Linked DNA regions of Tamandua tetradactyla. The protein of the gene in region 3 purifies or fractionates together with the protein of the main gene of each other region. This does not show direct contact. Links are inferred from orthologs where the notes say so. Each region holds a gene or a part of one and is shown on either strand. Other genes may lie near its edges.

Region 1 (7,494 bases), on a different chromosome or scaffold from region 3:
TAGAGAAGCTGTATGGTCGGTGAGAAGCAGAAGGCCATGGAGGAGGCAGTGGACGCGCCAAAGTATACGGGCAGAGAGCTGAGGCAGGGGCCAGGGCACCCAAGAACCTCAAAGGCGTCACAGTTTTGTCAAAGCCAGCCTTTGGATTCTATGACATCAGCACCTGACCTTGTGACATAAGCACTAGATGCCAGGGAGAACTGTCCCCAGGGAATGGAGCCCCCAGCTCCCAATGGGGGCGGTTCGCCACCACTTGGATAAAGTCTCAGTCTCCCAGAGGCTCTGCATCTGCTGGCCCCACTGCTGCTCCTGCTGCTGCCACTGTTGAGCGTGATAAGCCATCCCAGCCAGGGCCAGGCTGAGCAGGAGGACATCAGCATCGGGGGCAACGAGGAGTCAGGGGAACCGCAGTGGCAGTATGCGTGCAGAATCCCTGATTCAGGTTTAGAAGAAAAGAAATCTGTAACACAGAAGACTTCTGTTTGGCTAAAGGAAGATTGAGGGCAAGTCCCAGACAGAATCTGGATTAGCCTGAGTTTAAGGTGACAGACGCTGGGGGCAGAGAAGGTTAGATCCGGTTTAGTGTCTCTGTTCCTTCTTTCTCAGGTTCCCGCATCACGGGAAGTGCCTTGTGAAACAGTCCAGAGGAACTGTCTCTGGTAAGAGCTCAAAGTACCACAGCATCCTCAATTTCTAGTTCCATCTCAACCCCCAGCCCCAAGCCCACTCCTCCAACTCCACCCTCTCTCACTTCCTGCTCCTCTCCTCCCCACTTCTCACCTTCCCTGAAACATTTTGTCAGTTCTTCCCACCCCAAAGACTAATGTGAATTTAGGGTCTTGGTGAGCTCAGCCTGGAATGGGCACACAACACAGACTAGAGAGGAATTAAAGTCCCCCTTGGGAAGTTCAGGGGCCACTGTAGTCCATCTAACTCCACAAGAGTAGAGAAATGGCTCTGGAGCTGGGGTAAAAAAAATCACAGGTCATAAACCCTTGAAACTAGGACAGCCAGAGACCACCTTGTCCCAAGCCCTCATCTGTGGAAGGAAAAAAACAGGCCCAAGGAGGGAAAGTGGTTTGTCTAAGGACATCCCAAAAGTGAGGAGCAGGATAGAAACAGACCAATTCACCCAACATCTTGGCGCTCTCCATTTCTCCACAGGTTCTATGGGCTGTGTCCTCCTCCCTGCCCCACCCTGAAAATCTCCATTGTCCCACAGCTCCCAAGAGGCTGCTCTGATTCTCCATCATCATACACCCTGCATCAATGGCTTACTGCCAAGAAGAGAGAGGTCAAGCTTAGACCCACATTCCTGCCTGAGCACTCCAGGGAGCCTGGTCCTACAGGGGTAGGAGTCTCCTTGGCCTGTCACCTGCCCCAGGCTGGAGCCACACTTTGTGCGGAGAAGGCGGCCTTGATTTCTCGGCCACATCTAGCTTCAGAGATATCAGTCCTGCCTCTGCCAGGTTTCTAATCCCTGGTGTCATCACTCCAGTTCCTTCTGGATTCAAGGCAATGTTTCCTCAAAACAAGGACCAGGTGCAGCTACAGAACACAGTGTCCTCTGGGCCTTCCCCTGAGGGCCTCTCAAAATTTGTGGACTCTTCTCCCCCCAACCTACAGCCTCCCTGTTCCCCTCAGTCAGTGCCTTCCTCCCGCCCACATTTCTCCTCTTCTCCTCAATCCCATCTCCCCGGCTCTTCTCTCCCTCAGTCCTATTCTCCCCACTCACATTTCTACTTTTCAGACTCAAATTCTGACTCTTTCCTACATCCATACTTTCGTTCTCTCCCAAGTTCCCCCACTTTCTTTCAACAGAATCCCCCCTCGCCCTTCCTTCCACGTTCTTCCTCTCCCCCTCATACTTGTTCCTCTCCCTCTCAGCCACTGAACTCCTCTCTCCCCAACTCACATTGCCACGCTCCTTCACATCTGGAAGACCTACCTAGCTCCACTCTCCCTTCTCCAAGCCCCAGCCTGTCTTCTCCTGGGGTCCACTCCAACAGGCAGACATGGCCCTGGCATCAGCACAGGGACACCGGGGCCCCTGGGGTGGTGGGGGGATGCATACCAAGCGAGAGGGACCCTGCGGAATTCAGGGACCCGGGGGCCCTTGTCCAGGCCCTGGTGGTCCAACTGGGGCACCGCCGCATTGCGCACGACCTGCAGTTACTGCTTTTGCAGCGTCTGTGGCTAGGCAGAACAGGCCGGGCCCCAATAGTGGAGTATCCCATATGCCTGGTGTGTCTCCGGCTGCGCAGCCCCTCCTGCCCCATCCCCAGGTACAGGACCGGGCCCAAGCTGCTCGCTTTTCCCCAACTATTGCCCTGTGCACAGGGCCAGGACTCTGGGCCGCTCCACATAGGCATCGGCTTCGGCCTCCGGCTGCCTCGGGGCCAAGCCAGGGCATTAAATCTGTTGCCAGAAAGAAAATCGGAGCTGGCGGGGCATCAGGGCGAGGCCACTCAGGCTCCTGGCTATCAAGCCCAGGCACCTCAGGCCCCAGCAGTGCAGTCCCCAACATCTCAAGCCCCAGAGGCTCAGGCCCAGGCAGATCCATCCCCAGGCACACCCTCCCAGACCGGGAGCCCCAGGTCTCCAGGCCCTCACTCACCAAACACCATCCTCTGCTCAGGGCTTCCACCCCAGGCACCAAAACAGGTCTCTGCCTCCCCGAAGCCCAGGCATTCCCCTGTCCCAAAGAGGCCTGCCTCTCTAGAGCACATACCCCAAAAGTTATCATTCTAGTTTCAGAGCCACGGAGGCTCACTGGAACGCCCCCTCCAAACCCAACCCTTCCTGCCAGGTCCCAAATCTGTAGGACTTCCGGAGACACTTTGAAGGGCTGGTTGGCTGGGGGCCAGGTGTGTTCTCCAGCCTTGAACCCTGGAAGCCCCTTATGGAGTCTGCTCTCTCCTGGCTGAAGAGGACCAAGGGCACCAGAGCCCCTATTCAGCCTTCAGTATACCCAATAAAGCCTGACCCCGCAAAACTCCTGTTTGTGTCCTGTTGAGTAGATAGATTGGGTGGCTGTATCTACAGGAGCACCAGTCACCACAGGGGCCTCTGAGGGGTACACTTCCTTTCAAAGGAAGGTGTGGCAAGAAAGCCAGAACCATGTACTTGAGGAGGGCAAAGGACTCGCAAGGCCTGACCACCTGGAATGTAAGGACAGCTCTGCCAGACCCTTCACATTGGATTCAAGACCATGAGGCAGATTCTGGCATCCCCAAGATGAACCTACTGGACTTATTCCTCTGGATGTGCGTTGGGTTAACACAAATGCCTGTTGAGGTAAGCAGTTCCACAAGCCGGAAAGGGCATTCCTAGCATCCATTCACGGGGGAACACGCAGGTCCTCAGGAGACCAGAAACCCTCAGGACCCCTCACGCCACTGGTGCAGGAGTGGGAGGGTGAAGCCACAAGAAAGGTAACAGGAGACGCCCACTGATGCTAACCGTGAAGGACAAGCGTTTGGCTAAGGTAGATAGTGGTTTTCTCTTATTATGAAGTAGCAGGTTCCCATTTGAAGTCAGGATTGTGAAAAGGTTAAATTACAGCTTAGGGCAACCACCACCCATCCCCTTTAAATTAGGTAAGACTCAGAGATGCCTCCTTGTTTACTTGTAACAAGGCTGCACACAGACTCTCCACATTCCCATTCTTTGTTTCATAAATGCCCAGCTGAACAGCTCGTGCCCGCTGACCAATCACAACCAAATGCTTGTTGACCAATCTTTGGTTAAGCTTCTCATCTCTCAGACCCCTGAACTTTAAGGGCACCTCCCAGAAAGCAGGCTGCTTCGGCATTAGTATTCTCTGACCTACCGTCTGATCAGTCAACAGTTCATCCCACTTCCCTACGCCCGGTTCTTTCAGTTCTTTAAAAAGAAAACCTTTTCTGCCTAACTCATATTGCAAAACAGTCCCCTCCTCCTATTGCAATAGTCCCTTTCCGCCTTACAGCAATCCTTTTGAATAAAAGCTTTCCTTATCAAGTCCGGATTTGTTTTTTAATCGACTTCTGTCGGATTTTAAAGTCCGTGCTGCCTCTTTCATGAGGTAAGAGAGGTGGACAGGGTTCTAGTGTGTGATCTTGGACAAATCACTTCCTCTCTGGGGTAAAATGGAAAGGCTGCGTTTGTACGAGTCAGTGTATCACCCCCGAAACGCGAACAGCCCTACCAAAGATGTCTTTATTAAAGGTTTATTAACTTTGACTAGACTCACCGCCTCAGATTCCTAGCCCCCACGGAGATTCCCTCGAAGAGGCGCGCCCCGCCGCCCCGCACAAAGATGGCGGAATCTGTCTTCACAAGGGGGCGGCGAACCACAATTCCGGCGCCAGCGTTGCGTCGCCCCGCCGCCGGCTAGTGCTGACGCGTATTGGCGATTCTGCGCTTGCGCAGAGAGCCCTGGGGTAGGTGCGCGTGCGCACTGCGTGTGTGGGAAAACCGGGGTAGGCGGATCCGCGGTAGAGACGCGAGTTGTCAAGAGTTTTGATAACCTCGCGGTGTTAGAGGAGCCGGGGTTCTTCCCCGGGGCGACGCGACAGAGTTTACCAGCGACCCGGGCGGGAGTCGAAGCCTGGGCGAGGCATGTCCGGAGGGCCACGTAGCGGGCTGTGAAGCGCGCAGTAGGCGGGATGGGCCGGCGCCGGGCGCTGGAGCTCTACCGGGCCCCGTTCCCGTTGTACGCGCTTCAGGTCGACCCCAGCGCGGGGCTGCTCATCGCTGCGGGTGGAGGAGGCGCCGCCAAGACAGGCATAAAGAATGGCGTGGTGAGTGCACCGTTGCAGGGCCAAGCCGTGGGCCAAGGGTGATTCTGAGGTAGGCCAGGGGTTGTCGGGGCGGGCCGTAGTACATGCTCGAACTCTGCCTATCCTCCGTGGGGATTCCCGGCCAGCCAGGTGCCTAGGCCCGAGTATCACCGGAGAACTAACTCACCAGGCAGTCGAGAGGGGTAGTGGAAATCGCGCACGGCGCTGCGTAAGGCAGGGGCACTTCAGCTCGACCTCAGGAGCAACTCCCAGGGTCTTATCCTGTCCTTTTCCGGGTAAGGCACAGGGACGTTTGTGCCCTCTAGCAGCTACCGGAGTTGCGCCTTTGACTTTTAGACCAGGTTCCTTCACTTTTCTGAGCATCATCCTGTCCTGGAAACTGGAGATAAACCCAGCCCTGCTTGTTGTCCAGATAGATATAAGGCCCAAATAAGATAAGAACTAGAGAAAGCCTCCTGAACTAATAAGTGCAGTAAGCAAAGGGGTCAGACCTTTGCCCTTGAGGTGCTCTCTGGTCACCCCGAACCTTGCTCATCCTGGTTCCCTCTCCTGCAGCACTTTCTGCAACTTGAGCAGATTGATGGGCACCTGAGCGCCTCCTTGTTACACTCCCATGACACAGAGACACGGGCCACTATGAACTTGGCACTGGCAGGTGACATCCTTGCTGCAGGGCAGGATGCCCACTGTCAGCTCCTGCGCTTCCAGACTCATCAGCAGAAAAGCAACAATAAGGCAGAGAAGGCAGGTGAGGACTCTCTTTTCTAGCCCTTTGGGAAATTAAATGAGTCAAATCCTTTCCAACGTGGTCTCAAAAGAACTGTGGCTGGAAGTGGGGTTATGGTTGTGGGCTGGAAACTGGGTGGTCACCTGACATGCAGAGATATCTAGGACCCAGAAGGCTGTTTGTATTGCAGGTTCCAAGGAGCAGGGGCCTCGACAGAGGAAGAGGACTGCCTCGGCACAGCAGAAATCTGGAGCAGAAACCCACCATGAGGGGGTAGAACTCAGTGTAGAAAATTTGCAGGCTGTGCAGACAGATTTCAGCACGGATCCGCTACAGAAAGTTGTTTGCTTCAACAACAATAATACCCTGCTTGCCACTGGAGGGACAGATGGCTACGTTCGTGTCTGGCAGGTGGGGTTTTGGGGGTTAAGGAGGATGAGTATCAGGAGCAGCAAGGCCAAAATTGTTGGAAATTAAGTGGAGGTTTTAAGAAACTTGTGAGTAGGCCTGCACTGAGTGACCATTAAAGGAGGAAAGGGCTGGGGGTCATTGTGCCCTTTTTGAGTACCTGGGCTGACTGTGGTGGTGGTTTGGCTGCAGGTACCTAATCTGGAGAAAGTTCTGGAGTTCAAAGCCCATGAAGGGGAGATTGAAGACCTGGCTTTGGGGCCTGATGGCAAGGTGAGGAGGTGGGGGATAGAGGGGTGGACAAAGTAGGTGTTTAATGCTGCTTGCCCAGTGAGTGGATCCCCTAACTGCCTGTCCTTGGAATCTTTATTCCTAACTAGTTGGTCACTGCGGGCTGGGACTTTAAGGCCTCCGTGTGGCAGAAAGATCAGCTGGTGACACAGCTGCACTGGCAAGAGAATGGACCCACCTTTTCTAACACACCATACCGCTATCAGGCCTGCAGGTGCAAAGACCTTGGAGGGTGGCTAAAAGAGGCACAGACCAGATGTAGTAGGGGAGTGGGTAAAGATGCAGGGGAAACTGGGAAGGACTATGGTCTTGGGGGTGTTAGCTGAAGCCTGACCAGTTTGGCCCCAGGGAGCTGAACAGTTTCTCTTCCGGCCCCCAGGTTTGGGCCAGTTCCAGACCAACCTGATGGGCTACGACTCTTCACAGTGCAGATTCCCCACAAGCGCCTGCGCCAGCCTCCACCCTGCTACCTCACAGCCTGGGATGGCTCCACCTTCTTGCCCCTTCGGACCAAGTCCTGTGGCCAGGAAGTTGTCTCCTGCCTCAGCATCAGGTGTGAGGCAGTGGTGGCTTGGCCGGGTGCTGGGGAAGGCGCTGGTGGCGATTGAGGGTGTCTCACAGGCCTCCAGGACAGTGAGCACTTTATTTTTTGTTGCAGTGAATCGGGCACCTTCCTAGGCCTGGGCACAGTCACTGGCTCTGTTGCCATCTACATAGCATTCTCTCTCCAGGTAATGGGTGAAGGTGGGCACAGCCTGAGGACTCTTTGGAGTGGGGACTTCAGAACTGCCGCTAACCTGAGTATACAGGAAGGAATCTGGCACAGTCTAGAGGGAAAGCCTATTGAGGGCAGGGGACTTGTTTCTGAGAGAATTCCTACCTGGGCTTCCCCTCACTAGTTCTCCTCCCACCCCCAGCGCCTCTACTATATAAAGGAGGCCCATGGAATTGTGGTGACAGACTTGGCCTTTCTGCCTGAGAAGGGTCGTGGTCCAGAGCTCCTTGGGCCCAATGAAACTGCCCTGTTCTCTGTGGCTGTGGACAGTCGTTGCCAGCTGCACCTGCTGCCCTCACGGAGTGAGTCACTGGGGAGTTTGGGGTGTGAGGGTGTGGAGGGGAGGATACCACTGCACCTTCAGGTATAGCAAAAACTTGCCCCGTGGAGAATGCGCTGCTTGACTGTAGCCATCTAGCCCCCTCCTTGAATGGACTGAGTTGAGGGGTCTCTTCTTCAGGCTGAGAAGCCCCTTTGCATGCTGATTTTTTTCCCTCCCCTCCCACAGG
Region 2 (7,337 bases), on a different chromosome or scaffold from region 3:
TGGGCAGACTGAAATACTAGTGGTCAATGAGAGGGAGGGGTAAGGGGTATGGGATGTATGAGTTCTTTATTTTTCTTTTTTTTATTTCTTTTTCTGGAGTCATGTGAATATTCTAAAAATGATCATGGTGAGGCATACACAACTAGGTGATGATATTGTAAGCCACTGATTGTATGATATGGCTGGAGTGCCCGTGTGTTGATGTTTGCCAATAGAAATATTAAAAATTTTTTAAAAAATGAAAGGCATCTGCCCATTACCACAACTGGCTGGTGAAGTTCTTGGTTCCCTATTCAACCCTCTAATTCTCAATCTTTGCTGTTTCAAACATAAAAAGCAAAAATTTTTCAAATGAATATAATCAAGTGCTGATGCTGAGTAGTTTTAGTACGGCCATCACAGGGCTAATAGAGAACTGGGAAGGGCAACCAGGAAGCCCCAAGAGATCAATTAAACGTGAACTAACCACTAAAAGGCACTACCTTTAAGTGGCTGTAGCTGCTATCATGCAGCAGTAAACACTATTAGTTTCATTTGCAATTAAGCTATTCTTTCTGCACATTATCTGAATAAATTAACAGGAGACGATGTCACACTATATTGGAGATCCAATCACATCACAAAGCGATATTTTCTCAAAGTAAATAACGTTGACTATATTTGACATTAAGAAGATTTCAAAACAAAGGAAGAAACGCCTTTTTAATTTTTCTATAAACAAATTCAAAAGCTGACATCACATGTGGCAGGGACCAAGTAAAAGCTCTAAGGATGTTTGCTGCCTTCAGTCTTAAAAATGCAGGATTTAAATCACATTCAATCTAGAAACTGGCAGTATTTTTTTCTTTTTGTTGGCCAAATACAGTTTCTGATGTAATGGCCAATAAACGTATTTAAATAGCAGAGGGGAGAAAAGGATGAAATGGAAATAACACTTTTTTAAAAAGCCAATTAGGAAAACAAAAGACAATTAGCAATAAAATACTTAAGTATCTACATATTTGCGGGACAAACATATCGATTTGGAAAGGATAATTCATTTTTTGAAGCTAAACTCCGATTTTAGTAAGTCAGCATCTTTACTCAGATATGAGTGGGCGAGAGGCAAGGTTAAAAGTGATGAACAACGGTGGCGCAGTGGCAGAGTTCTCACCTGCCACATGGGAGACCCGGGTTCAATTCCCGGTGCCAGCTCAGGCAAAAACCAAAAAAGGGATGAACATTTAGGCTAGGGATCCTTCCGGAACTGGAAATGGCAGTGTTCCTCTTGTCCCCTTAGAACAGACAGTGAGGATTTACACCACATATCACGTGCCCGCTCAGTGTACACTATGGAACAGGTGCCGGACAAGCACACAAGGACACCTTACACACAACACACACCACCCTATCAAACTCTTATTTCACACAACCCAGGCCCTGCTCATGCTGTCGCCTGTTGTGTCTGGTCATATCTGTGTGGACACACACCATTTCTCAAGTTATGTTACACAACTGTCGGCCCTTCCAACCCCACAGGTCATTTCTCAGTACTGAGGCAGTGATGTGATTCTCCAGGTCACTTATGTTCAGGAGGTCAGGTGGGGCAGGGCTTGGACGCGAAAAACAGCAAACATTTTGGCATATTCAACTTAGCTTGCTAATAGCCCAGTTTCGCTTTGAGGAAAGTGAAGGAAAAAGAAGTCGTGGAAGTTGTTTTTGCTGTTACAATGTTTACTTACATTCGCCCTATAGAAACCTCTAGGAATGGCTTAATGCAAATTAACTCTTCAACTTCAGAAATCTGTTTTTGCATAACACCAATTTGAATATAAACAGTAAACTTGAGGCTACCTAGTCTGCTCATTATAAATTTCTTCTATATGTATTGCTTGCAACGTATGCACAAGCTTTTTAATAGCGGTGGTGAAGAAGTCATAAGGTTATTTGAGAACGGACGGGAGACCCTGAGAATGATCCTGGTTCGGCAAACGTAGGAAGGGATTCCAACAGCACAAGGAGCTGAGGCTAATGCCAGCTGGCTTCTAAGACGGCTAAGTCTTCATTATTACTTAAAAAACCCTCTTCATCTAGGGGTCTCTGCCCTCCCCGCAGCCCATCCCCCCTCCTCCCCCCACCCCCATCCGGGAGAGGGAACAATTCCGCTTCCTGCGCAAAGAAAAGAGACTGCCAGGTGGCCGCTTTCAAAAGCCAAAGACGCCGGCGCTCCTGCGCCCTGACTGGCAGTGTGCAAGGAGACCTGCATGCACAGAAATGGCATGGGACAGCAAGAGTCTGGGCGCAGATCTCGGAAGACTCCGCGCCCGGATCAAACCTGAACTCTACCCGCTGCTCAAAAGGCAAACGAGCCCCAAACCCCAGGCGAGCAGCAAGGCGGAGGATGAAGGGTCAGCGTGCCTTTCCCAAGCCCACCGCAACCTGCGACCAGGCGGCCGAGCTCTAAGCGCATCCACCCCTGGCGACTGCACCCACCGGGTCCCGGAGGCGCAGGCAAGCGCTCGGATGCGGTGCAGACCCATCTCCCCTCGGATTACTGGGACGCGGCGGGTGGCCCTGGGGAGCTGGGGTGGGGGAGCTGGGGGCCACCCCCGCCCGAGTCAGCAAAGGACAAATAAAACGCCGGCAACAAGTGGGAGGCACAGCCCCACCGTCAAGGCCGAGAGGCCCTGGCGCCGGCACGGCGAGGCAGAGACGCAGGAACAGGGGCGCACCCCCCTTCCGCACGCCACACACCGGGCTGGCGACCCCCCCCAAACCCCACCCCACCCCAGCCAGGCCCGCAAGGGTGGCCGGATTCGGGTCCCCACGCCAGCCCCCCGCCCCCGCGCCAGCCCCCGGGGCGCCGCAGCAGAGACCCCGGGGCACCGCACACGGCGCACTCACTGCTGCACTCGTCGTCCGCGCACAGCTTGTGCCGCGAGAAGCGCCGGCCGGGGCTGCTGTCCGGCTGGCCCCACACCCTCCATAGCCGCCCGAGCACGAGCAGCCAGAGCAACAGCCGCGGCGCCGCAGCCATGTTGGGGCCAACTCCGCGGAGGCGGGGCGCGGGACGAGGCCGGGCGGGCGGGGTGCGGGGGCGGCGGGTCGGAGGCGGGGCGCGGGGTAGGCCGGCCGGGCGGTAGGCGGGGCGCGGGCGAGGACGGCGGGAGGAGGCCGGGTGGGCGCGGAGGCGGGGCGGGGACGCCGGGAGGAGGACGGGTGGGCGCCGGGAGGAGGACGGGTGGGCGCCGGGGCGCCGGGGCGGGGGCGCCGGGAGGAGGCCGCGGGGGGGCGCCGGGAGGAGGCCGCGGGGGCGCCGGGGCGGGCGGCGGCACGAGCCACGCGGCGCCCTGGAGGGGTGCACGCCGCTTGCTGACACGTCAGCGGGGGCTGAAGGAGAGGGGCGAGCGGGGCGCCGAGACGGAAGCCCGAAGCCGTGGGCCGCGGCCGCCCGGACCGCCGCCCTCCGCCCTCTCCGCCCGCCCCGCCCGGCTCCCTTGGTCGCACTCCCCGCTCCGCACGTCGGGATCCCCTGATCCCGCAGCGTCCCAGCGGAGGTCTTTTCTGGAGTGTTCTTACAGCTTCTGCTTTCTGGTCTGACCCCAAACTAGCTCAGGCCCGCCCACCATCCTCTCGAGGTTTGGGGCCTCCTTTGCTGAGCCCCAGGCTGCGTCCGCGGTCTGCCCCGGCTTCGGGCGCCCACCCTTCGGACTCCAGCGCTTCCTTAGCGGCCGTCCCCTAAGGAGAGGGGTGTGTGCGTGAAGTTAATGGGTCACGGGAGTGATCTAGAGCCAGGTTCCTATTTGGCCTGTATTTGAGCCTCGGGGCGGGGGAGGGGATGGGGATGTGGGGTGGGCAGTGGGTCGCTAGCTGAGATCTTGACATTCTTGCTAAGTGCAAAAGTAGTTTAATTCAACACAAATGGTTTGGGTTCTGTTTCATGGCATGGGGATGTGGGGAGAGGATGGCAGTCAAAGATGAATAAGATATCCTGGCCCTTATCTAAAGAAGCCCACAATTTAGTGGAAATAACTAACATATAAAACAATTAAATTATGAATATAAAAGCGAATGTTATAAATATCAGAGTAGAGGAAAACGAAATAATAGGAGCTAATATTTATTGAGTGCTCTCTTTATGCCCAGGTGCTATTTCAAAGTCTTTATGTGTATTAATTCAGGTAATCCTCACAACTGTAGTACCTTACCAAAGTAGATCCTATCACTTTTCATTTTAGTGACAGTAAGTCAACGCAGTCACACCTCTGCTGAGTGAAGCTAAGATTTCAACCTTAAAAGCTGCCTTTTTAAACACTTCTGTAAGTTCTTCATGATGCAACAAGTAGTTTTTGGATTTTCTTTCCGAGTAAAGGAGGAAAAGCTTGTCAAAATCGTAATATAACTAAATTATCTACATGTGCTGTATATATAAAAGCGCACAGACCTGCAGGTTAGCCCAGGGCCGAGTGGCTACAATGCTCCCATCTTGGTTGGAGCATTTTTCATTTGTCATTGGCCAGGGGCTTTTCAGCTGCAGACTCAGTTCAGTGTGTTTATCACCCTCCAACCCGATCAAACCCAAGCTAACTGGATTCCTTTACAGCCAAAGGAAAATGTGGTCCCATGTGTGAAATCCACATGAAAAGGTGGGAAAGAGAAGATCACGGGTGTTTGTCTGCCATGCCATTAGAAATCCCTTTGGTCTAGTGTGGTTCAGAAGCTTCTAGGAGAATGTATGTAAAGGCAAGGGGAGGTGCTCTTTGTCCAAGAGGTGGTACTGTTAGGAGTTCTTCATTTCAACTATTTTTAAGTGGTTTTTTTAGAATCTTAGGGATGTCTTATAGGCATCTCTGACTCAATGTATTGAAAACCAAACTTATTTTCCTTCTCAAACCTTCTGTTTTCAGTCTTCTTTATCTTGGCAGCTCCTATCTTGCAGGTGCTCAAGCCAAAAGTTTACAAACCATTCTAATACCTCTCTTTCTCAAACACTCCAAATCCCATCCATCAGACGATCCTGTGCCCTCTTTATTTTAATAGCTCTGTTGACGTATGGTTGACATACAGTTAACTGTGCGCATTTGAAGTGTATGATTTGATAAGGTTTGGTTGACATATGTACACACCTATGTGGTAAGACAATCACCACACTCAGTATAGTGAACATACCCATCACCCTCAAAAGAGTCTTTGTGCCCCTTTGTAATCCTTGTTTCCCTCTCCTGCTTTCCTCCACACAACCTTCTATAGCTATAGATGAGTCAGCATATTCTAGAGTTTGATATAAATGGAGTCATACAGTATGTATTCTTTTTTGGCTGGTTTCTTTCACTCAGTATAATCATTTTAACTATATCCAGAATTTGGCCACTTCTCACGGTCTGCTAGGCTAACACTGTTAGCAAGACCCTGTCTCTCAGCTGATGTTGTAACAGCCTTCTCACTGCTCTCCCTCACCCTGCGCTTGTCTGCCCAGAGTCTTAGTCCTCATAGCCACCGGAGTGATACATCTGTGACATAAATCTGGCCATCCCCCCTCCCTCCGCAGTTCCTTCCTATGGCAAATCCAATGTCTTTACTGCGGCCTGCACTTCCTTAGTGGATCTGACTTCCTTTGCTCGACTCCCATTTCCTCTCCACGTACTCTGTTCCACCCAAACAGATAAGACCAGCCCTGCTTCAGAGCGTTTGCACTTGCTGTCCTCCCTCAACCTGTAACACTTCTCCCGGTGGTCTCCCCAGCTAACTAGTTCCCTCCCTTCATCGAGGCTGGGTAACAGTGCCAAGGCTCAGTAACAGTGCCATATCTACCTTAATAGAGAGGCCATCTGTGACCACCCTGCTTAAAACAGAGCTGCCCTTCATGATTATCTAGCCTGTCGCCCTGCTTTTTTTTTTCTTAGAGCATAATTTAACATTTAACTACTTGAGTGCCTCCTTAGCCCAAATATAAGCTCTGCAGAAGCAGAGAATTTGTTTGTTCAGTGCTATTACCTCAGTGCCCAGGAAAATGCCTGATGTGCATGAAGTTCTCAACAAATAATGTGTCGGATGAACACATGATCCTCACACAGTATCAGTAGATACTCCTCTTAACCTAAGCAAAGCTTTGATATGGAAAGAGTACTAAGGGGGAGCGTGACAGGAGAATAAGTCATTTTGTGTCCTGTCCTCCCTCCCCCAGGAGAAACCTCAGCACCGGGAACAGAATCTGGAATATATTTATTGTTAAATAAGGGCATATAAGTTGTGGAGGAAGCAAATGAAATCATACTGTACTTTTTTCCCCATTATACCACAAGAATATTAAAGAAAGTGAAGTTGTTTTAGTCTTTCTTTTTTCTTTTTAGAGTAGAATTACATGACAGTTCATTAGTTGAAGCAAAGTTTCAAAATGAGGTAACTTAGTCTTATTTTACCTCACATGTACTTTGGCTAGTATTCAGATACACCTGTATATGAGGGTCACGGCTCCCAGTTGCTGGAGAACTGACTCCCCAGCTTATAGATTTTCCAGGGTTTATTACCTTCAAGCTATATTAATATGCTGACAAGCTTGTTGGATAATCAGAAAAGAAATTCCAGCTGACCACGCCAGAGGCAAGGGAGTAGCAGTGCTTCTTACCAGCATGTATAATTAGTGAATGAATCAGCAATCATTTCTACTCTTAGCATTTGAGTAGGTAGTATTGATGTTTAATCAACATAAATTCAAATCCCAAGTATTTATTAATATGTCAGGTAGGGTTTAGGTTGAGTTCTGGTTAAAAATAAATGTATCTGGAGGAGCAAGGGGAGTTCAGTGGTAGAATTCTCACCTGCCATCCAAGAGACCCGGGTTCGATTCCTGGCCGGTGCACTTCCCCAAAAACAATCAAATAAGCAAAACAAACAAACAAAATTCAGCAAATGGTGATGCAATAACGGGATACTCACATGGGAAAACAATGAAATGTGACCCCGCCAAACAGCATACCAAAAAAAGTATCTAATTCTGGGTTTATAATAGCTAATTAGAAATAACTGGCTACAATCAGTTTCATTTTGAGTACCTACAGTGAGATTCAGACTCTACTGGGTTCTTGAGCAGGGGGAGGGAGATTGGAAATAGAAGAAATGGAGAGCCGTTGACCTCAGAGAATTTGCAGTTGTAGTCTGATTGAAAAGACAAGGATGCTACATCTGAAACCAGTCAGAGCATAATAACGTGTGTCACTGTACACCTGCCATAGTGTTTCCGAGGAATGTTTAGATGATCTCACAGTTAAGTCATCAGAAAGAACTTAGTCCGTTGCCAATGATAAAACAATCATCATTCAGAGAATGGTATAAAACACCTCTTGGGGACTTCAGCATCC
Region 3 (7,107 bases):
ATTTTTCTCACAGCTGCATTGGATAGCTCCAGGCATTCAAAACAGATAATGGCAGATTTAAGGCAGCCCTGGGTAGTAAGGAATCTTGAGGGCTACAGAGTCAGACAAATAGTTGTGTCCAGAAGTAGTCAGAGGTTGTCATATAGGCCCTGATGGGAAAAAAACAGTGTTTCAAATAGAAGCTGCTACTTCAAACAGTGACCATAGCAGCAAATTGCATGAATAGTCAACATAGAAATGATAAATGTATCAGGTTGGTCATACTTGTTAAACTTTAGAGTAAAATCACTTACCATGGCATCTTTTTTATTATAAAGCATAATGACACAAAGACACAAACTTAATTTCAGTTGCAAACATTAATCATTAATTTTCGCATGTTATATAATCAGAAAGATGATTCAAGTTTCTAGGAATTTCAACGTACTAGGACTTTGAGCTACATGAAAGTCTTTCCTAGTTGTTATTTTTTCAATGAAAAATTCACACACCTAGCTTTTCTAGGCTGCTAGCCTTTCTTAGCATCTTAACTCAGTCCTTTATTTGCTCAGAAAGACATGTCTTTTAATTTGATTAAAATTTCCCAATCTTTCTTATACTTGATCATTGATAGCACTAAGGGGTGGCTGGGATTGCCTAACCATCCCATAATCTCCATCAGCATTCCTCAAATCACTTCAAATAAATATAAAATCTAAGTTTTTAAAAAATATGCATGCTAAATAAAATTAATTTCAAGGCATTTTCTTAGTCCTCTATCTCAACCAGACTGCTTCCCTAAAAGCCTTATTTATAGAAATTCTGAAACTACCACCAAATATGACCATTTGTGTGTGTGTTTAAATATGTTAAGGTGGTTTTTCAAAAATATTTATACAGTGCTTTGAAATTCTTAAAGTTCCTTTGGAGATATAAAGTAAGCAATTGTGCAAGCTGGTCATTTACTCTGCATTGTTTTTTAAGACTAGATACTTACACTTCCTGCCCACAAATCTTCCCTTTCTCCTGCAAGTTTAACATACACAGATATCTCTTCTCCCTTGGTGAAGTTCAGGTATCGGCAGTCAGATCCTCTGTAATCGCTCACGGCTAAGACTCTGCTTATTAAAGCTATGTAAACATGTAAAGAAAAACACATTTTAGATTAAAATGTCATTCCTCCCCCACCAGCCTTTCCCTCCTCCAATCCATGCTATAGAAGTTACCAAACACTAATTTCCTTATATATCACTTATGGCCACTTTGTATGACTGTACACAAAATAAAGTCTAAGCTCTATGACTTGATATCCAAGGCTGTCTTCCACCCTGTCCCACCTTCCCTATCTAAAGGGGCAGTACCTCCTTCTACCCTTTTATACAAACTCTTCTATCCACTGTCCCTGGAATATGTCACTACCAATCTCCAGGCTGTAGGAAAGGGAAGGAAAAGATAATCAGTTTGCTTCCTGGCACCTACTATATTCCGAGCATTCTGCTAAGCACCTTCATATTTATTATTTTACTAAATCCTCGAAACAGATCTGTAGGATAAATAATCTCATCTCAGTGTAACAAATGAACCTTTAACTAAGGCTCAGAGAGGTTCTTTCCACTGCAACATTCACCTTTCTTAGCCTGGACTGTTCTTTCTGCTCTTTCCTCAGCATAGAAACCCCTCCCTCTCTCTCCCTGTTCAATTCATATCCTACTTTTTCTGTATTGACCTGTATTGCCACCATTCACTAGAATGAGAGTACCTGAACCTTATCATCCATTTCATTTTGATTCCTCTTCTATGCATTCCTCCTGCCCCAGACCCCAGCCTACAGCAGGCCCTAAGTGGCTACGGATTATTCATAAACAAATATGCTGGATTTGTCCCTTCAATGCATGAAATAGTGTACATTCCATATTAACTATGATAATACTACTACTATGTGTAAAACACATTTGATTATACTGCAATTGTAATTTGATCAAAATAATATTATAATATTATTAATTATAAACATGAACGTTTCCATGTTCTGTGTCTGGCCCTAAGGATACTACAATGGGTTGTAACATAAAGAAGAAAACAAACATTATTAATATAAAACATTGTCTAGTAAACCTTCTCTGTATAATAAATTACATATCAAAATGTTAAGGAAAATGTTTACACATTTTTAGCTTATATACTATTGATGCTTATATTATGGCATGTTTAACTCTCATGTTGAATTTTTGTATCATAAATTAATAGAGAAATGATTAATTCTGATAAGGTTTAGATGGAATAAATCATGGTGGTTTGAAATAAAAACATTTTTAGCAAACTTATAAGAATAGGAAAATTCTGATTGTGAAATAGAAAGAATACAAGCATTTCATAAATAAAGTACTATCAAATGGAATGATTTTTTTACACAAAGCAAAATAACAAAGGCTGATTAATTTGGTTTTGAGGTATGAGCTAAAATAATTTCTGATTTATTTATATATCAGGCTGATCTTTGCCGCTTTGTATACTTACATTAATACTATCACAAAATGCCTTGTTTCCAGCATTTCTTTTTTATAGCAAGCTATAGTTTACAATTTCAAATATTTCTCAATAATATTAATGCCCATTTTTATCAAACGCATCCATCCAGAATGACGTATCCTGTCATTTCAGCCCCTTAATCAACTAAAGTGGAAAAAGAAAGAAAAAGGCAAACTTACTTTCACACTCCAAGTCACCACATTTTTTAAAGCCTGCCAGCAGTTTTGCGCTCTCCAGACTCTTTGTCAGAACAATAACCCAAAGGAGGATTCTGTGAACTGTGTGCTCCGCCATGCCGAAACCAGCATCCAAGACCCCCACACAAGGTTGACACCTACTGTAAAGGGTGTAGCTATGCCAGCCAACATGGGAAGTACCCTGTTTTCTTCACTAAATATAAGGAAAAAAGAGTAGGGTTTTAAAAATCCCTTGAAAACTACATTTTTCTATCAGTCTTTAGGCTTCACTTGAGAGACAAACATTCTCTGTTCTCAATCTGCAGTGTCAGTTATCCAGAGAATACATGAGAGATTAATAATTAACAGAGTTTTTTTTTTTTAGTTGGACTAGTGTCTTCATCAAGTTGACCCGTGCAAAGCCGTGTCATTTAAAGGCACCTTGCATTCAACAGGACAAGTCTTAAACAGGACAAGTCTTTCTCTCCAGAGAAAGGCAAATTCAATCTCGTCTTGTTAAAGTCTTCAGGTAGACCAGTCACCAACTACATCCCATCAGCGCGAGACATGTAGAAAAGTAATAATTTATGTTAAAAAGCATAAGTTGTGAAATGTCATGATAAAAGTTATTTGAAAAAAAAATAGCCCTCATTCATATTAAAAACTCTTCAGTGTCACTATGAGTTGAACATTGCCATATTTACTTAATAATAATAGTCAAAATATATTAAGTACTTACCATATTCCAGGTTCTGTTTTAAGCACTTATAAGTTGGTCATTTAACCTTAACACCAACTCTTTGTAGTAACATTATTGTCCCTATTTTTGCATAGGTGGAGACTGAGGCACATAGAAATAGGGTAAATCACTTGCCCAGTGTCACATACTGAGCAGTGGGGAAGGAATTTTAGCCTAGGCACTGTGCCTCTCTATAATTTTTTTTTTTAATTAAAAAAAAATACGACAAAGAAACACATTCTTAACATGTAATCATTCTGTCCTACGTATATAATTAGTAATTCACAATATCATCACATAGTTGCATATTCATCATCATGATCATTTCTTAGAATATTTGCATCAATTCAGAAAAGGAAATAAAAAGACAACAGAAAAAGAAATAAGATGAAAACAGAAAAAAAATTATGCATACCATACCCCTCACCCCTCCATTTCATTGATCACTAGCATTTCAAACTATATTTATTTTAACATTTGTTCCCCCTATTATTTATTTTTATTCCATATGTTCTACTCATCTATTGACATGGTAGATTAAAAGGAGCATCAGACACAGGGTTTTCACAATCACACAGTCACATTGTGAAAGCTGTATCATTATTCAATCATTATCAAGAAACATGGCTACTGGAACACAGCTCTACATTTTCAGGCAGTTCCCTCCAGTCTCTCCATTACATCTTGAATAACAAGGTGATATCTACTTAGTGCATAAGAATAACCTCCAGGACAACCTCTCACTCTGTTTGGAATCTCTCAGCCATTGACACTTTGTCTCATTTCACTCTTCCCCCTTTTGGTGGAGAAGTTTCTCTCAATCCCTTGATGTTAATTCTCAGCTCATTCTAGGGTTTTTCTCAATCCCTTGATGCTGAGTCTCAGCTCATTCTAGGATTTCTGTCCCACATTTCCAGAAAGGTCTATACCCCTGGGAGTCATGTCCCACGTAGACAGGGGGAGGGTGGTGAGTTTGCTTGTTGTGTTGGCTGGAGAGAGAGGCCACATCTGAGCAACAGAAGAGGCTCTCTTGGGGGTGACTCTTAGGCTTAATTTTAAGTAGGCTTGACCTATCCTTTGTGGGGTTAAGTTTCATATGAACAAACCCCAAGACTGAGGGCTCAGCCTACAGCCTCCCCATAATTTTAACCACTCTGCTTTATCATCAAGAATCAAATCATCTGCCTCAGAAAGAAATCTACTTTGTCTGCAGCGACACTATTCCAGAGCAGCAGTACGGAATGATTCCATGTATTTGAAATAGCATGCATATTTCTGTAAGTGGAGAGAAAATGCGAAAGTCATATCCGAAATAATGTTCCCTGATATGATAAGAATGTGTGGTGTGCTTTCAGGTTATATTCACTTTATTCTCTGTACTTTTCTATATTGCTTGACTCCCTTTTTTTAAAATCAGTGAGCATATATCATTTTCAAATAACAATACACTATGTGATGATATTGAGAATTACTGATTATATATATAGAACGAAATAATATGTTAATGTTTTTGTTTGTTCTTAATTTTTTAAATTAATAAATAAATAAATTTAAAAATAACAATACGGCTATTAAAATTGTTATTTGTTTTGGAGTAATGAAAATGCTCAAAAATTGAATGTGAGGACGAATGCACAACTATATGATGATGCTGTGAACCACTGATTGCACAATTTGGATGATTATATGGTATGTGAATATATAATATATCTCAATAAAATTGCATTTTAAAAAATCAAGTCATTTGAATGTTACTGTCACTTAATGAGAATCGAAGACCTATTTGAGAAATTTCTGTGTAAAACTCAAGATTCCAAGGTGCACGGGTGGTTCTGTGGTAGAATGCTCGCTTTCCATGCGGAAGACTGTATTTAATTCCCGGACCATGCACCCCCCAAAAAAACCCTCAAGATTCCAATAGATTAGCTGAAGTCATGGTTGCCCCATTTCAGTCTTGAGAAAATATTTTTTCCAAACTCTCCTTTGCTGGACATTTACACTGTATTGGGCACGCCAATATGTGCAAAACGTGTTTGCAGGAGCTCAGCCTCAAGTTAGAACCTTGCACTTGTGTGACACCACACTCCATCTAGTGACTGACACAAACAAGACAGATACCTGGGAGTGAGCAAGCTAACGTGAAGGACTTTTGTTTCAAGTCACTAAAAAGAAAAGAACACAATCATCAGTAGAAAGACTGATCTTTCAGTTCTAAGGTTTTTGCATCCTTAGAAAAAATCTGCTAGAGCACGCGGAGGGAGATGGCTCTGAATCTGGGTCACTGGGCTGGTCATCAGAGCACTGCATAGTTGCATGTACACCACACACAAAAAGTGTGGGTTAGTTTCTTGGATACCTTTGCAAATCTGTAAGCTATGTTGTCAAAGACATTTAAAGAAGGATCAGCTCTTCAACTCCAAAATGTGGCACAGGATTATTTGCACAATTTACATGATCGAATCTACTATCAAATCAAGAATATTTAGTAATCAGTGCAATCTAACTATCCTTATTTTGTACTCAGCATTAAGATATTACTGCTAAATCCTGAACTAATCAGTGTAGTCATGTTCTAAGTTAAAAGAGACGAGAGTCCATCTAAATTTAAGTCTGCTTAGTAATTGGCCTGAAGGAGATTTGAAATAAGAAAAAATGAGGAAAGTTCTTGCCAAGGTACTTGCCAGAAGACATCTGCTCCCACTTTATTGTTGCTTAATGCGAGAAAACCTCTTCCTGGGGCAGCCCACATCCAATGGCTAAGTAAGGAGGGAGTACAAAGATAGGGCCATTTCAGCCTGATGTGAAATACCCTGATGGCATTTCTCCCCCAAAATTGCCTGCTGCGTTGACCTGGACTTTATTAGACCTGCACTGCAGTTCAACTTCTGTCCGATCCTGCTGTCTCTCTGTTCTAGTTTGCTAGCTGCTGGAACACAATGTACCGGAATCAGAAGGTGTTTTAAAAAGGGGAATTTAATAAGTTGCTAGTTTACAGTTCTAAGGCTGAGAAAATGTCCAATTAAAACAAGTCTGTAGAAATGTCCAATCTAAGGCATCCATCCAGGGAAAGATACCTTGGTTCAAGAAGGCCTATGATATTCAGGGTTTCTCTCTCATCTGGAAAGGCACATGGCAAACACAGTCACAGTTTCTCTCTCGGCTGAAAGGGCACATGGTGAGCAAGGCATCATCTGTTACTTTCTCTCCTGGCTTCCTGTTTCATGAAGCTCCACGGGAGGCATTTTCCTTCTTTATCTCTAAAGGTCACTGTCTTGTGGACTCTCTGCTGTCTTGGCTATGTTGTTCTTCTCTGCTCTCTCTGAATCTCCTTCATTCCCCAAAATGTTTCCTCTTTCATCGGACTCCAGAAACTTCTCAAGACCCACCCAAATGGTGGAAACATGTCGTCATCTAATCCAGCTTGACAACCACTCTTGATTAAATCATATCATCCAGGGAGATGATCTAATTACAGTTTCAAACATGCAGTATTAAATAGGGATTATTCTGCCTTTATGAAATGGGATTTAGATTAAAACATGGCTTTTCTAGGGGACATACATCCTTTCAAACCAGCATCCTCTCCCTTCATTTCATAGTTGTTGATCGCCAATAAACACCTTGAACCCCAAACTCCTTACTCTTAGAGAGCCCAACCTCAGAAGCTGGTGATCCATGGACACA

Evidence for each region.
Region 1: the proteins of MIA2 (region 3) and PREB purify together in Homo sapiens (affinity purification with western blotting; 3 studies listed by BioGRID and IntAct, with this or other methods). This does not show direct contact. The link is inferred for Tamandua tetradactyla from reciprocal best matches to the Homo sapiens genes MIA2 and PREB.
Region 2: the proteins of MIA2 (region 3) and MIA3 purify together in Homo sapiens (affinity purification with western blotting; 6 studies listed by BioGRID and IntAct, counting the BioPlex papers as one, with this or other methods). This does not show direct contact. The link is inferred for Tamandua tetradactyla from reciprocal best matches to the Homo sapiens genes MIA2 and MIA3.

The regions. Positions count from the first base shown.
Region 1 is NC_135329.1:10,898,001-10,905,494, reverse strand, and holds the start of PREB (guanine nucleotide-exchange factor SEC12), read left to right. Parts: upstream 1-4,422; 5' UTR 4,423-4,649; coding exon 4,650-4,784; intron 4,785-5,339; coding exon 5,340-5,532; intron 5,533-5,701; coding exon 5,702-5,922; intron 5,923-6,111; coding exon 6,112-6,192; intron 6,193-6,299; coding exon 6,300-6,424; intron 6,425-6,589; coding exon 6,590-6,763; intron 6,764-6,868; coding exon 6,869-6,941; intron 6,942-7,127; coding exon 7,128-7,287; intron 7,288-7,493; coding exon 7,494-7,494. Other genes in the region: PRR30 (proline-rich protein 30), read left to right, coding at 1,519-2,751.
Region 2 is NC_135330.1:83,194,020-83,201,356, reverse strand, and holds the start of MIA3 (transport and Golgi organization protein 1 homolog), read right to left. Parts: upstream 3,049-7,337; 5' UTR 3,017-3,048; coding exon 2,884-3,016; intron 1-2,883.
Region 3 is NC_135340.1:14,287,312-14,294,418, forward strand, and holds the start of MIA2 (melanoma inhibitory activity protein 2), read right to left. Parts: upstream 3,001-7,107; 5' UTR 2,803-3,000; coding exon 2,688-2,802; intron 1,111-2,687; coding exon 977-1,110; intron 1-976. UniProt on the Homo sapiens protein: Plays a role in the transport of cargos that are too large to fit into COPII-coated vesicles and require specific mechanisms to be incorporated into membrane-bound carriers and exported from the endoplasmic reticulum.